2 linked regions of the Alligator mississippiensis genome follow. The protein of the gene in region 1 interacts with the protein of each later gene in a pairwise test. Links are inferred from orthologs where the notes say so. Each region holds a gene or a part of one and is shown on either strand. Other genes may lie near its edges.

Evidence for each region. The genes of interacting proteins can lie anywhere in the genome.
Region 2: the proteins of BBLN (region 1) and CEP290 interact in binary tests that used the Homo sapiens proteins (3 or more experiments, as listed by UniProt). The two-hybrid records come from large-scale screens. The link is inferred for Alligator mississippiensis from reciprocal best matches to the Homo sapiens genes BBLN and CEP290.

What each region holds. Positions count from the first base shown.
Region 1 is NC_081835.1:57,734,062-57,740,065, reverse strand, and holds the start of BBLN (bublin coiled-coil protein), read left to right. Parts: upstream 1-2,191; 5' UTR 2,192-2,222; coding exon 2,223-2,307; intron 2,308-5,085; coding exon 5,086-5,282; 3' UTR 5,283-6,004. Other genes in the region: PTGES2 (prostaglandin E synthase 2), read right to left, coding at 1-107. UniProt on the Homo sapiens protein: Essential for intermediate filament organization in intestinal cells, interacts with intermediate filament and regulates intestinal lumen morphology.
Region 2 is NC_081827.1:84,379,897-84,385,900, forward strand, and holds the start of CEP290 (centrosomal protein of 290 kDa), read right to left. Parts: upstream 3,920-6,004; 5' UTR 3,821-3,919; intron 3,475-3,820; exon of another isoform or gene 3,294-3,474; intron 2,797-3,293; 5' UTR 2,731-2,796; intron 777-2,730; 5' UTR 748-776; coding exon 646-747; intron 503-645; coding exon 425-502; intron 1-424. UniProt on the Homo sapiens protein: Involved in early and late steps in cilia formation. Its association with CCP110 is required for inhibition of primary cilia formation by CCP110.

The DNA of each region.
Region 1 (6,004 bases):
GGGACGCAGTAGGCCCTGCCCGGGGCCCGCAGGAGCCCGGGGGCCGCAACCCGCGCCCGCCACGTGAGCGGCCGCACGCACCGCCAGCCGCGGCCGGCAGCTGCCATCTTCACCTGCAAAAAGCGGCGCGGGCGGGCCCCGAAACCCAGGAGGCTTTAAAGATACAGCGGCTCCGCCGGCTGCCGGGCCAGCGCCCCCTGCCGGGCGCTGTTGAAATAGCGCCGCCAGGCCCGGCGGGTCGGTGCGTCCGGCTCGGCTCACGAGGGTGTTTGGGTGGAGGCGTCCGCCCGTCTTAGACTCGCGAAAGAGCTGGGGGAGAAACTGCTCTTTGCAAGCTTGCGGGCACCGACGCCCTTCTTCAGGCATAGGGAGAGGCACCTGCAATGCCTGATGAAGGGTGTTTGTGCCCGAAAGCTTGCAATGAAAGACTTTTTTGGATTTTTTTTGCAAAAATCTTGTACTAGTCGAGACGATTTATTTTATTAGACCAAGTCCGGATCGCCTTTTCCTCTAGACCCATACGGCTACAACCTGGATGCCCGACACCTGGAAGAGATCGAATTTTAGCTGGTTTTTAAAAATGAAATCTTCATATTTTCCCGAGTGGGAAGCAAGGGTGAGCACCTGAAACCTGAGATCCTGCCTTTGTTTCAAGGCAATCTGCATCAAGGCAGGACCTCACGGGAGGTGAGAGGCTCCACACCCGCTAATAAGTTGGTCTAATAAAAGATCAGATTCAACCAAAAAGCCTTGTCTGTCCAGACCAGCGATGAACTGCCTGCCCAGAGGAGTTGTCCATCTATTGGCTCCTCCGTGAACGCCTATGAAATATGAACTTTCATTTCTACTCGAGGACTTTTACAATCTTTTCTCCCATGCCCGGTGAAGGGTGTTTGTGTCCGAAAGCTTGCAATTAAAGAAACTTTTTTGCAAAAATCCTGTTCGCCTAATAAAAGATATCACCTCTACTATGAGTCCTGATTGCCTGAAGAAGGGCATTTGTGCCTAAAACCTTGCAAAGAACAACTATTTAGCTGGTTGAATATAAGATGACACATTTACACAAAGAACCTGGTCTGCCTCTGAGTGGACGAACATGAATAAAACATTCTCTGCAAGCAGCAGAGCAATTTTTCACAGGGAAAACTAAAGTCAAGATGGTGCTTGTGAATATTTAGTGAGGTTTTTTTTCCCCGCTTTTGAAGAAAGTCTACTCATCTCCACCCTCTGCTGTCACTGCACTGATTGTCTAATCCTCCCCTCTGCTTTATGAATCCACATGGAGGTGGAAAGGAGAAGGCTGCACTTCTGAAAAGGAGGGCAGCCCCCTCCTTTCCATCTCCATGTGGTTTCATGCCCCTCCATTCCCCACCTTGAGTGCTAGGCTGGTGCAAAGTACTGGCCCAGGCTTCTCCAGTCTAACGCATAAAAACAAGGAGCGGATAGTAACCGTTTGCACTTCTACAGCAGCCCTTATCTGAGATCTCAGAGGTTTACCCAGCTGATCAGCACAGATATTCCAGTCCCCTATGAAGCCACAGGTGCTGCAGAAGGGCTGCCCAGGGAAGCTGTGGGGGCGCAGGGTGCAGCTGAGTTGGTCTAAGGATGCGGGCAGAGGAGGGTCTTTGGGTGAATCCGATCTCTTTGATTAGAGCCACTCGAATCCTTGGAAGTCTCACTAGCAAGCTATTGGGTTTAAACCCAACAGCTTGCTAAGAAGAATTTTTCCAAGGATTGGAGCGGGTCTAATCAAAGAGATCGGATTCAAGCAAAGTCCCTCGTCTGCCAGGGAAGCGGGAGACTCCCCATGACTGGAGGTGTTCAAGGGGGGGGGGCAGCCACTGGCCAGGGGTGATGGACGGGCACCGGACCCCAGTTCTCTTTCCTGCCTGGTGCAGGCGCCTGGACCCGCTGATCTTCCCACATCCCTTCCAGCCCCGCAATCTGTGGCTCTCCGATTGCACTAGGGGTACTTCCCGGGCTTCTTTGCTGATTGCACCTGCGCCCCCTCCCCGCACAGGAGACCCAAAGAACCTCCCGAGACTCGCCAGCTTCACTCACTACCCAGAACCAAGCACTTTACTTCCGGGGCGGGGCCGCGCTGTCCACAAGCCCCGCCCACGTGACACACCCGCCATCGCTCCGCCCCCTTCCGGGTCAAGGTGGCTCCGCCCCTCGTCGGGCAGGGGGCGGGGCTTGGCGGCGTTAGTTCCGGGCGCAGCATGTCGGGGCCGAACGGGGAGCCGCACGTGGCGGGCGGCGCGGGGCCGGGCGAGGACGGCGGCGAGGACAGCTTCGGGGAGGAAGGTGAGCGGCGCCCGGGCAGGAGCCGGCTCTGCTTGGCCCGAGGCAAAACGGCCACATAGTGCGCCCGCCTCCCTGAAGCTCGGCCCCCGCGGGGAGACTGGGGGTTGGAGCCAGGCCTCGGTCGTGGGAAGGGCTGTGCCTCCCCGTCCCTCTGCTGCGGAGAGAGGCGAGGGCGAGCGCTGCTTGCGCCAGCGGTGCAAGGTCTGGGATGCCGAGCGCTCTTCCTCGGGGCTCTCTTTGTAGTGCCTTGCACTGGGGAGCGTGTCTAACCTTACCCACCTACATCCTTGGCCCAATCAAATCCTCGCCTCTGGACCGTCAGGGCTGCATCACTGTTGCGCTACCATATAAGTGGAAATTTCTTCCTCCTCCTTGGTCACGCTGGAATAGCTTGTTCAGAAGGAATTGCAATTAAAGGTATTTTTTTTTTGCAAAAATCTTGTTGGTTTAATAAATCCTCTCTACTATGAATCCTGATTGCCCTGTTCAGAACACACCCCAGTCTGTACTGGGTTTGTCTCTGCATGCCTCCCCACTGCTCCGGGACATGTCCTCTTTGCTGCTCCGGCTGAGAAAACTAGACCCCTGCCAGTGGGATGCAGGCTGTGGCACCCCTCAATGCTCCTTTCAGTTTTTTCAGCTGTGCAGCAGCCAGGGAATCGACAGTTGTTCACCTTCAGCGCCTGCTCTTGCTTGCTTGGTAGACCTGTAGGATCTCAGAGAGTTTGGACTTTTCTATAGCTCCTTCCTAAGATCTCTTGAAGCTTTCTGTATCTGTATAGTTCTAGGTCTTGTCAAGGCATTTGTTCCAAAGTATATCATTGCCAGTGGAGACTCAGTAGATGACTTCATAGTCCTGTTAAATCTTAGTTTTTTGTGTGTTGGCTCTCCAGAAACAACACACGGTCCTGTTGTCACTTGCTGACAGCTTGGTATGCTCTTCTGTAGTGGAGTTGCCAGTGGCTACTGTCTGCATTAATTGGTTGGGTGGCTGAACCTCCCCTGGTACAGCTTGTGTCATACCAGAAGGATGCTCCTCTGGTATATTCCCCTTGTGGCTTCATGTTGCATTTCTGCAGACATTCAGCAGTTGATTTGCTGAGTATCTGATAACACCTGTGATGTTCCTTGCTGGGTTGAACATCTGGCTCTCCTTCCTTGCTTATTTGCAAAGAGTTTTTCTGCTATTTCAGGGGTCTCCACTCTCTCTGGTTTTCTTTGTCACAAGGGGAAGAGCAATGCAGCAACAGCTATCAGTTGTCCAAAAAGCTTTTGCTTTCTCAGAGGCTGTGCTGAAACTTAAACTTCTAAACTGCACCTCTTCCAGTGTGGCCTCCTGTGCCCATAGCTGAGAGGAGAATGCAGCACACAGGGATTAACGGTGGTTCTGTTCAGGGGACCCAGCCATAAGGCCAGTACTGATTTAAAAATAGACTTGTAGCTTGGACACACAAAATAAACTGACAAGATGAACTCAATGCACCAGTTGCCAGTTCCTTTTACTTCCAAGCACAGGATCCTCTGTAACTCTGCTGTGTGCTGCTCCTGTTTCCCTACTGAATGGTGGCTGCATGAGGTCTGGTGGGAGAGGAGGGCTGCTGACACAGGCCCTGGCATCTCATGAGGTCAGAGGATGAAATATCCTGAAAGCTTCAAAACAGTACTGTCCCAGGCCAGGGATGGGTCACTTGGCATGATCTAAGCCACTTCATTGTGTTCCCATTCAAGTCAGAGTTGCTTACTTCAGTGTCACACCTAAAACGGAAACAGGGTCAGGAATCTTGGCATGGCAGCGTATGGTGCAGGCCTGAAGTTTTAGTGAGGGTAGGGCTGTGCCCCAAGCATTTCATAATGGTAATGACTGTGCAGGTGTGTTGCTTCAGGTAACATGAAAGACATGTCTCCAAATGAAAGCCAATTTAATTCTTTGTTATACAATTCAATCATACTTGAATGGAATGAACATTTCATCTTGTCCTTTGAACAAACTAGGCTGGGGAACCAGCTTGAGCCTTGCCCTCAGGTCAGTTTGTGCCAGCTGTGTGGCATGCAACTTTGATCCCGCACAGCTGGTTTAGACTAGATCTTCTCCTCCCATGTGAGGTCTTAAATGGTCAAACTTGACTAGCATGGTCTCAGTAAATGGGTTAACAGCTTGGGGTGGATGGATCAGTGTGCCTCCAGTTTTATTGCTCCTGGGATGTTGAGATGTTTCCGTTTGGCCCTTGCAATGGGATTCACCCCGCCTCAACCATGAGAGATGCTGTGATGTTGTAGCAGTTTAACCCAGGCCAGACCCTTAAGTGACAGGTCCCAGATTAAGTACCCTGAAGATGCAAGTCCTCCAGGCAGTGTAAGCTCTTCTGTAGTACCCTGCCACACTGTCCATGCCCTGAGCAGACAAACCTACCACAGGAGTTGAATAGGTTAATTTAACCCTGATATCAGTTCAGATTTCTTGCATTTTTAGATAGCCATTTCCTTGGGAACAGGCCTGAACCCAACAACTTGCCTGCAAGTCTGAATAGTTCAGGTTAGATGGCCACTCCCAGGCTGTGCTGTTGCACAGAGGTAAAAAACCCTGTCACATCACCAAGTACCCAAACCACCGTGTCCTATTGACTATCCAAACCACATCTATGTGACAAGATGCAGTTGCATTTTACCTATACATGCTGCCTTGTATATTCTGGGCATATTTGTAAGAGTTCTAGCAATGTGGTCCCTGCTGGCCTGAACAGGGGGAGTAGAAGTTGAAATTGTTCTACTTCCTCCTAGAATATGCAGCAATAAATTCCATGCTGGACCAGATCAACTCCTGCCTGGATCACCTGGAAGAGAAGAATGACTACCTCCATGCCCGCCTGAAGGAGCTGCTGGAGTCCAACCGGCAGACACGTCTAGAGTTTCAGCAGCAGCTGAGTGAGGAGCAGAACATGCAAACTGACACGCAGGGACCAGAGCCAACCAGCTAGTTCCATCAGTTTGTGCACAAACCGCGTCTCCTGGTTGATGCTTCCCCAGGGACTTCCACTGTCTCTTGGTTTAAATGTAAACTTGAATAGAAAAGGCACATCCTGCTTGCTGTGTCCCCTCCAGTGGTTCAATTTTCTGCCCTTTCTGTGTATCTGTGTTTTCTTTTTAAATGTGTGAATTATACTACAGAGGTAAAAGAGTAGGTGTGGGGGAAGTTGATCCTTCAACATGCCACTTAACTCCAGCACTGAGCCACCAGTGTCTCCACTGGAACTAGTCCATGGGAAGTCTTGTTCATGTCACAGGCCATGTGAAATGGAGTCAGCTGTCCTTCACAGCTGAAACTACTTGGGGAGGGTGCCCATGCCTGTATCTTCTAGCCTATCTTTCCTCTAATATGGGAATTGTAAGGTGTACAGTGCTGGCACTCTTCTAGCAAACAGTGGTGCTGTCCCAGCCGCAGCTTTGTTCCTAGCTTTAATCCTGGGCAAGGTGACATGCTTCTGCCAGAGGCTAGTGGCCTAGTCAGTCTCCTGCCCTGTTGCTACAGTTCCATTCTAATTCATGTTGTCAGTTCTATACGAGCTCTGATTGAGAGAGTCTGGTTAACTTCCAAGAGCACAAGACTGACCAACTGGACTCCCTCTTCTGAGAAGATGTAGCATGAACTACCATTGTGCTCATTTAAGCACCATTTACCATTTAAGCTGTAAATGGGACC
Region 2 (6,004 bases), on another chromosome or scaffold:
ACATTTTGGAACAGAATTCTATGGCACATTCTACAGAAACGCCAGAAAATGTCCCTACAAAAACAGACCCTTTAACCTACATGGCTGCTAGCAGTGCATTTTTAATACAACTTAAGATGTTATCATATGAAAGATTTAGAAGCATGGTTTTAGGATGGCTGCATTTCCAATAATTAATTTTAAACCTCATAAATTTAAAATTACTCTAATCTAGGTCTAACTTAAATCTTCATTGCACTCGTGTATTTTGTACCTGACAAAAATATAACAGAAAAAAAATTATTGTTGCACATATGTATTCTTGGAGTCACATGTGTGACATGAAAAAAGTAATTAAAAATGCATTTACTCTTAGTTTCATGTAGCAGCTCAGCTCAAGCTTAAAAAGTATATCACACTTTAAAAAAAAAGAATTGATACAAACCTTCATTAGTGACTGAGTAATTTTAAAAAGATGTATTACTTGTTCAGGATTTTCACTTTTTAGGTCATTTCCTTCAACCTAAATAGACAATAGAATGATTTCCATAAATAACACAGAATTAAACAAAATTTATACTAATGCTAAATCTTTGTGGAACCAGAACTGGTTCACTAAATATGCATAACAAAAACATTTACATTTCTTGTACTTCATACACGTACTTTGGACACAGTCTCCAGCAATCTATCCGCCAGTTCCTCTTGACGTGGAAGAGCATCTGGGTCAACTCTCATAAGCATCTTCCAGTCTAAGTTGGGGGCCATCTTAAGTTTAAAATAGCTTTGTTTCTTCCCTGAAACAACAACAAAAATAATAATGATCATTACATTAAAGCTAAAACAATTGCCAAACGCAAGAAAGTGAATCACAGGAAACAATACAAGACTTTACACCTTCCAAGGGTGAACTGTTTCATTGGTTTACACTCTTCCCACATCTAGATTACTTTTGCAAGCATGAGGGATAGAAATGTTCTTTTCCTTTTAAATAAAATCTTGGATACTGCACAATATGAATGCATCACTGGGAGATATATATACAAGAACCAGATCAAGCACTACATTGATACCTCTGTCTTATCATCTGCTTCTCACAACCTGTTGACCAAAATCTATCATGAGGGTGCTATTAAGCATTAGAAGCAATACACCCACCCAAGTGTAAGTTTCTTTCTACTGCCTATAACCAGCCAGTCTACAACTAGGTACTGCAAAGTTTTTGTGTATTATTGGACATTATGTGAGGACCTGGAAAAGATTTTACATGAGGTAGAGATTAATTGTTTGCTACTGTTCATTGGCTGCTCCTACCCAGGCTGACAAAGTCCAAATAGAGCAATTAGATCCTACTACATATAAATAATTTACTTATTCTCCTTATGAAAATGGCTCTCACAGTTGGAAAAAAAAACAAGCAAGTCAGTTGCTGCTAGTTGACGTAGAAAATTAGAACAGATATTTTGTGCAAATTCTCAGATAGGACCTCTGTACAGTGCTGCAAGACCTTTGAGATCTTTTTCACCATTCATTTTACTAAAGTTGTGGGAAATTTCTGCACTATTAGAAACTGATTCACATTCCTCTGCATTAAATGAACCCTGGGTAGAGATTTGCCAACTTAAAACTTCCTGCCATTACCATCCTTCAAAAACTTTCCTATAATTGTCTGAACAGTCTGCCAGAAAAACTTCTCCAGCTGTGCAATTAAGCTGGGATACAAATCACTCATTTTCTTTGCCACCTCTCGGTTTACTAGGAGTTTTAAAAAATATGCAATATATGTATATGTATATATATGGAGAGAGAAACATAAACCGTTTGAGATTAAGAACAGACCAGCGTCTGTTCTCAGGCCAGCATTTACGCAGGTTATGCACTTATCCAAACTTTCATTTAAACTATCAATATTTAAGTACACAGTCCTGTTAGTGCTGTGGTATTAGCAGCCCGGAAAATGACTATCCTCCCATCATTTTAAAGACTTCTAATAGTCACTCTTGGAGTTATTAGAAATCATGAAAATGAGATGAGATGACAATCAAGGAAATAAATACCCCTCATCATTGTCAAAGCTTAATAGCTGGCCTTTGACAGCTGCTGCTCCTTCGCTGCACAACTAGGATATGAAGTAGAGTGGTTGAAAGATACACAGGCCTCTAACCATTTTATGCATCTAACTCATATGTGGATAAGAAGAGTCTGTTACCATACAAGCAGGTTGCAATTTTTTGCCTGTTAGCACATGTATCAATTATTTGCATATGGATTAAATGTATAAACCAGGTAGCTTCTACTACCTGCTGTGTAATATAATTTTAATCCATGTAAATACATAATATCTGCGACAGAAAGGCTGAAAGGAAACAGCTGTCAAAAAGCTGCCCTTAAAAGCCTTGAAACTGACCAGAGCATGCCAATTTCAGGGCTGCTTTTAAAAGCTTTAAAAATGTCCAGAAGCCAAGTCATTATCAGGACTGCTAATAGCCCTGTACAGTACTGAAAAAGACTGAGATAGGATATTGTGTTCTTAATGAGTGCTGCTTACACTGAGTTTGGGTAAGTTCATAAATCAGGAAAATACACAGCCTTTTTATGTTTCCAGACAGAAAGCTATGCATTTAAACAGAGTACATTATGATGTCTGATTTCCCAAGGAAGATGTGACAATATGCACATATTTCTGATCTAAAAATTCTCTAAATTAGGGTGAAACCACAGAAGGACCTCATGCAGAACACAACAAAATACCTTCTGAAATAGGAGAACAGGTCTGTTATTTGAGAGAAAAGATGACAAATGAAGACAAAAATATTCCTGGAAAAGAAAGAGATGATAACCCTGTCAGAATAAAAAGCAGAAAGAGAGCCTAAGACAACAAAAAGGCTAATGACATCAGTACAATGATTATAAGAGACACGAGATGTAATGACCTAGAACCCCAGCCCCTACTGTTCTGAACCTACTGTTCTGAAAGAGCTCATAAATCCTTCACATGTTTAACAGCCAGGAGGCATCCAGGAACCTAAGCACAGAATCATCTCCCCTCACCCAGCGCCCATCTGGGGCAGCACTTGAACCACACAACCTGCTGCCTGGAGGAGAAGAAATCAATGGATTTATTATTATTATTATTATTAATAATAATAATATATTTTGTGTTCCAGGTCAAATCAGCTAAATCAGTTCCAAATCATATTGACTGAGCAGAAGTCAAGCGCTCCAAAAACCGTATCAATGGAGCAGGCAGAATTCAATCTTTCTAAACACCATGTATGGTGCTACAACCAGCATTCTCAGCCCCAGGCTCTCACCCTGGGACTTCACATCCTCCCAAATCCACTGGCAGGTGTCCTAGTTGCAGGCCCAGGCCCGCAGGTCTTGGCATTCGGATGCCTGCAGATGCTACAGGAAATCATCCTTCCTCCCAGACTCTTTAGTCCGGGACTTCAGATACTTCCCACACCTGGTCTTAGTGTGTAGTTTAAGTGACAACTGCTCTGACAGGAAAAAATGGACTTTCCCACCCACCCTCCTCGCCCCTGCACCGGCCCGTGCGCTCTACACGGAGCGAGAAAGACCTCGCAGGTCCGGGGAGCGAGATGAGCTCCACCGCTGCCCATCTCTCGGAGCCGGACACCCAGGCAGGCGACTCCTCTGACCCTTGCAGCAGCAGGCCCCGAGCAGCTGGAGCACCCCCGGCCGGGCACCCCCGAAATTGGCCGCGCCCACACGCCTCCTCCTGCCCCTCCGCGCGCTGGGAACCCCCCACTAGAGCGACGCTCTCCCCCGCCCAGCGGCACCCGAGGGACGCCCTGGCCTGGCCCAACCCGGCCCTCACTTGTCGCCCCGGGCCCTACGGGAAGCGGCGGCCGCTGCTAGGCGACGCCATCCACCAGCCCCGCTGCTTCCGAGCCCCGGATGGACGCTCGGCCAAGGCCAAGCCTACAAGCCCCAAGGTGCACGGCGGCACCAGGCTTGGAACGTGAGGCGCCGCTCGTTAGAGACAGCTGTGCCGCGGGCGAGACGAGCGAACTACCGCTCCCAGCATGCCCCGCCACCTGCCGGCAACTACGATTCCCGGCTGCGCACTACACCCGGCATCCTCCGCGGCTGGTGGGGAGGGAGGGAGATGGTGCGCACGCGCATTGCAGAAGGGAGTCACCGCCTCAGGCTCGGCGGCAGCGGCGGGGCTGGGGACATGGAGCCTCGCGGCTGGGAGGCAGTGTTAGCCTGCGGCGCCAGGTCTGGAGCGGCCCGGACGGGACGGGACGGGGCGGGGCGGGGCGGGGGCGCGGAGCTCGTTTCCGAGCTGGTGCTGCCTGCGCTGCTCCCGGGAGCTGAGGCCGGCCCCTCCCCCGGGGCGGGGTCGGGATGCGGCGCCTCGGGGCGGGCGGCCGGGGCCGGGGGCACCTTCGACAAGAGTGCGAGGCCCAGGCGGAGCTGCCCGGGGCTGCGGCGAGGCGCAGGGTGAGCAGAGCCGGAGCAACGAGCTGTCAAAAAGAAAAGGGCACGAGGTCTCCCGCGTGAGGCCAGGAGCTGCTGAGGGCCGGGGGCCAGGAAGGCGCGCTGCGCCGGGGGCCCTCGTGGCTTTCTCTGAAGCCCCTGGGGCTTGGCGTCGCCTGCCGGACTGATGAGATGCCAGGCACGGCGGCCCCGGCCCTCATAGCAGAGGTGCAAAGCTGCCTCTCCCTGTGAGCGCCTCTTGGGGCCCGGTGGTGCCTGTAGGGCCCTGGGTCTATCCGTGCACCTGGGATGGTCAGGGCATCGGGGCAGAGCACAGGAGATAAAGGGGTATAAAGCCCATCTTCGTGTCCGCGCCCCGCAGAACGGATTTGGTTACGAGTCTGAGAAGCTTTTCAAATCGCCAGTGAGAAGTTGAAAACCACGCGGAGGTGGACATTACCAGATGGGGTTGGAAACGCTCAGCTCTGTAGTTTTGGGGGCAGTCACAGTACACTCTGTTTTCACAGAGGTGCGAAAAAATGCTGAGCAAAAAATGTGTCTAATGTAGCAATGTTTTAAGTATGTAAATGGTTAAACAACAATTTTATTTATACCGTTTACTGTTTAGAAACCTCCAGCAGGAGCAGCCTTGGCCTATGCCCCTTGTGTCTTCACCATACAAGCAGCTCTGCGTGGGCCCCAGGCCACTGGCAGGGAGCTGTGGGTGGGGGATAGTGGTGTGGCTGAGCCATTTGGGGGTGCAGCCCAGCTGTGGAGCTGCGGCTCCTTCTCACCATCGTGGGCTGGGGCTGTGGACAGAGCCGGGGCTGCGGACCTCTCCTGTGCCTGGATCCCACCACCTCAGGGAAGCAGGGAGGTGCTGGGTCCCCCCACATGGGTCAGGCGGGGCCTTCCCATCCCTGTGATGGGTTTGTCGCCCCCTCATCTCCAGCAACAAGGTCCAGGTAGGGTGACAGGGTCCTGTGCCTTCTGCCGCACTTATGCCACTGTGGCCTGGACCTGAAAGGGCTGCTAAGAGGTCATTGCTGGCCCCTCGCATGGTGAGCACAGCCTTATGGCATTCTTTTGGAGCAGCAGGGATCCCAGGGGGAGTGTTAGGGCTGAAACAGCAGCCTCCTAGGCTGGAGCTCATGAATGCTGTGGGGCTAAGATCACCGCTCAAGGAACTAGCCTCAATCCCCTCTCTAACCTGGAGCTGCCTGCTACAGCTGCCATGGTGCCTCTTTAGGCCATGCCAGCCCTGCCTCAGGGCTGGGCCAGGCCCCAGGTAGCCCCATTGCCACAGACAAGAAGGGGAAGGACATAGTGCACCTGGCAGAGGCCACCCCACTGGGTCTGGACCTCATCTTCCCCCAGGGCAAGCTGGGGAGGGCTTGACCCAGCAGCACAGAGACTTCCAGGTCCAGATCAAGGTGGGACAAGCTCAAGGAATCTGTTACCTTGCCTGGGCCCCGCTGCTATAAGGGGCCTGGGAAGACCCTCCATGGAACTAGGAGTCTTGCTGCTGTGATGGGAAGGCTCCCCTGTGGGGGAGCCCAGCACCTTCCTCTGTTCTTTC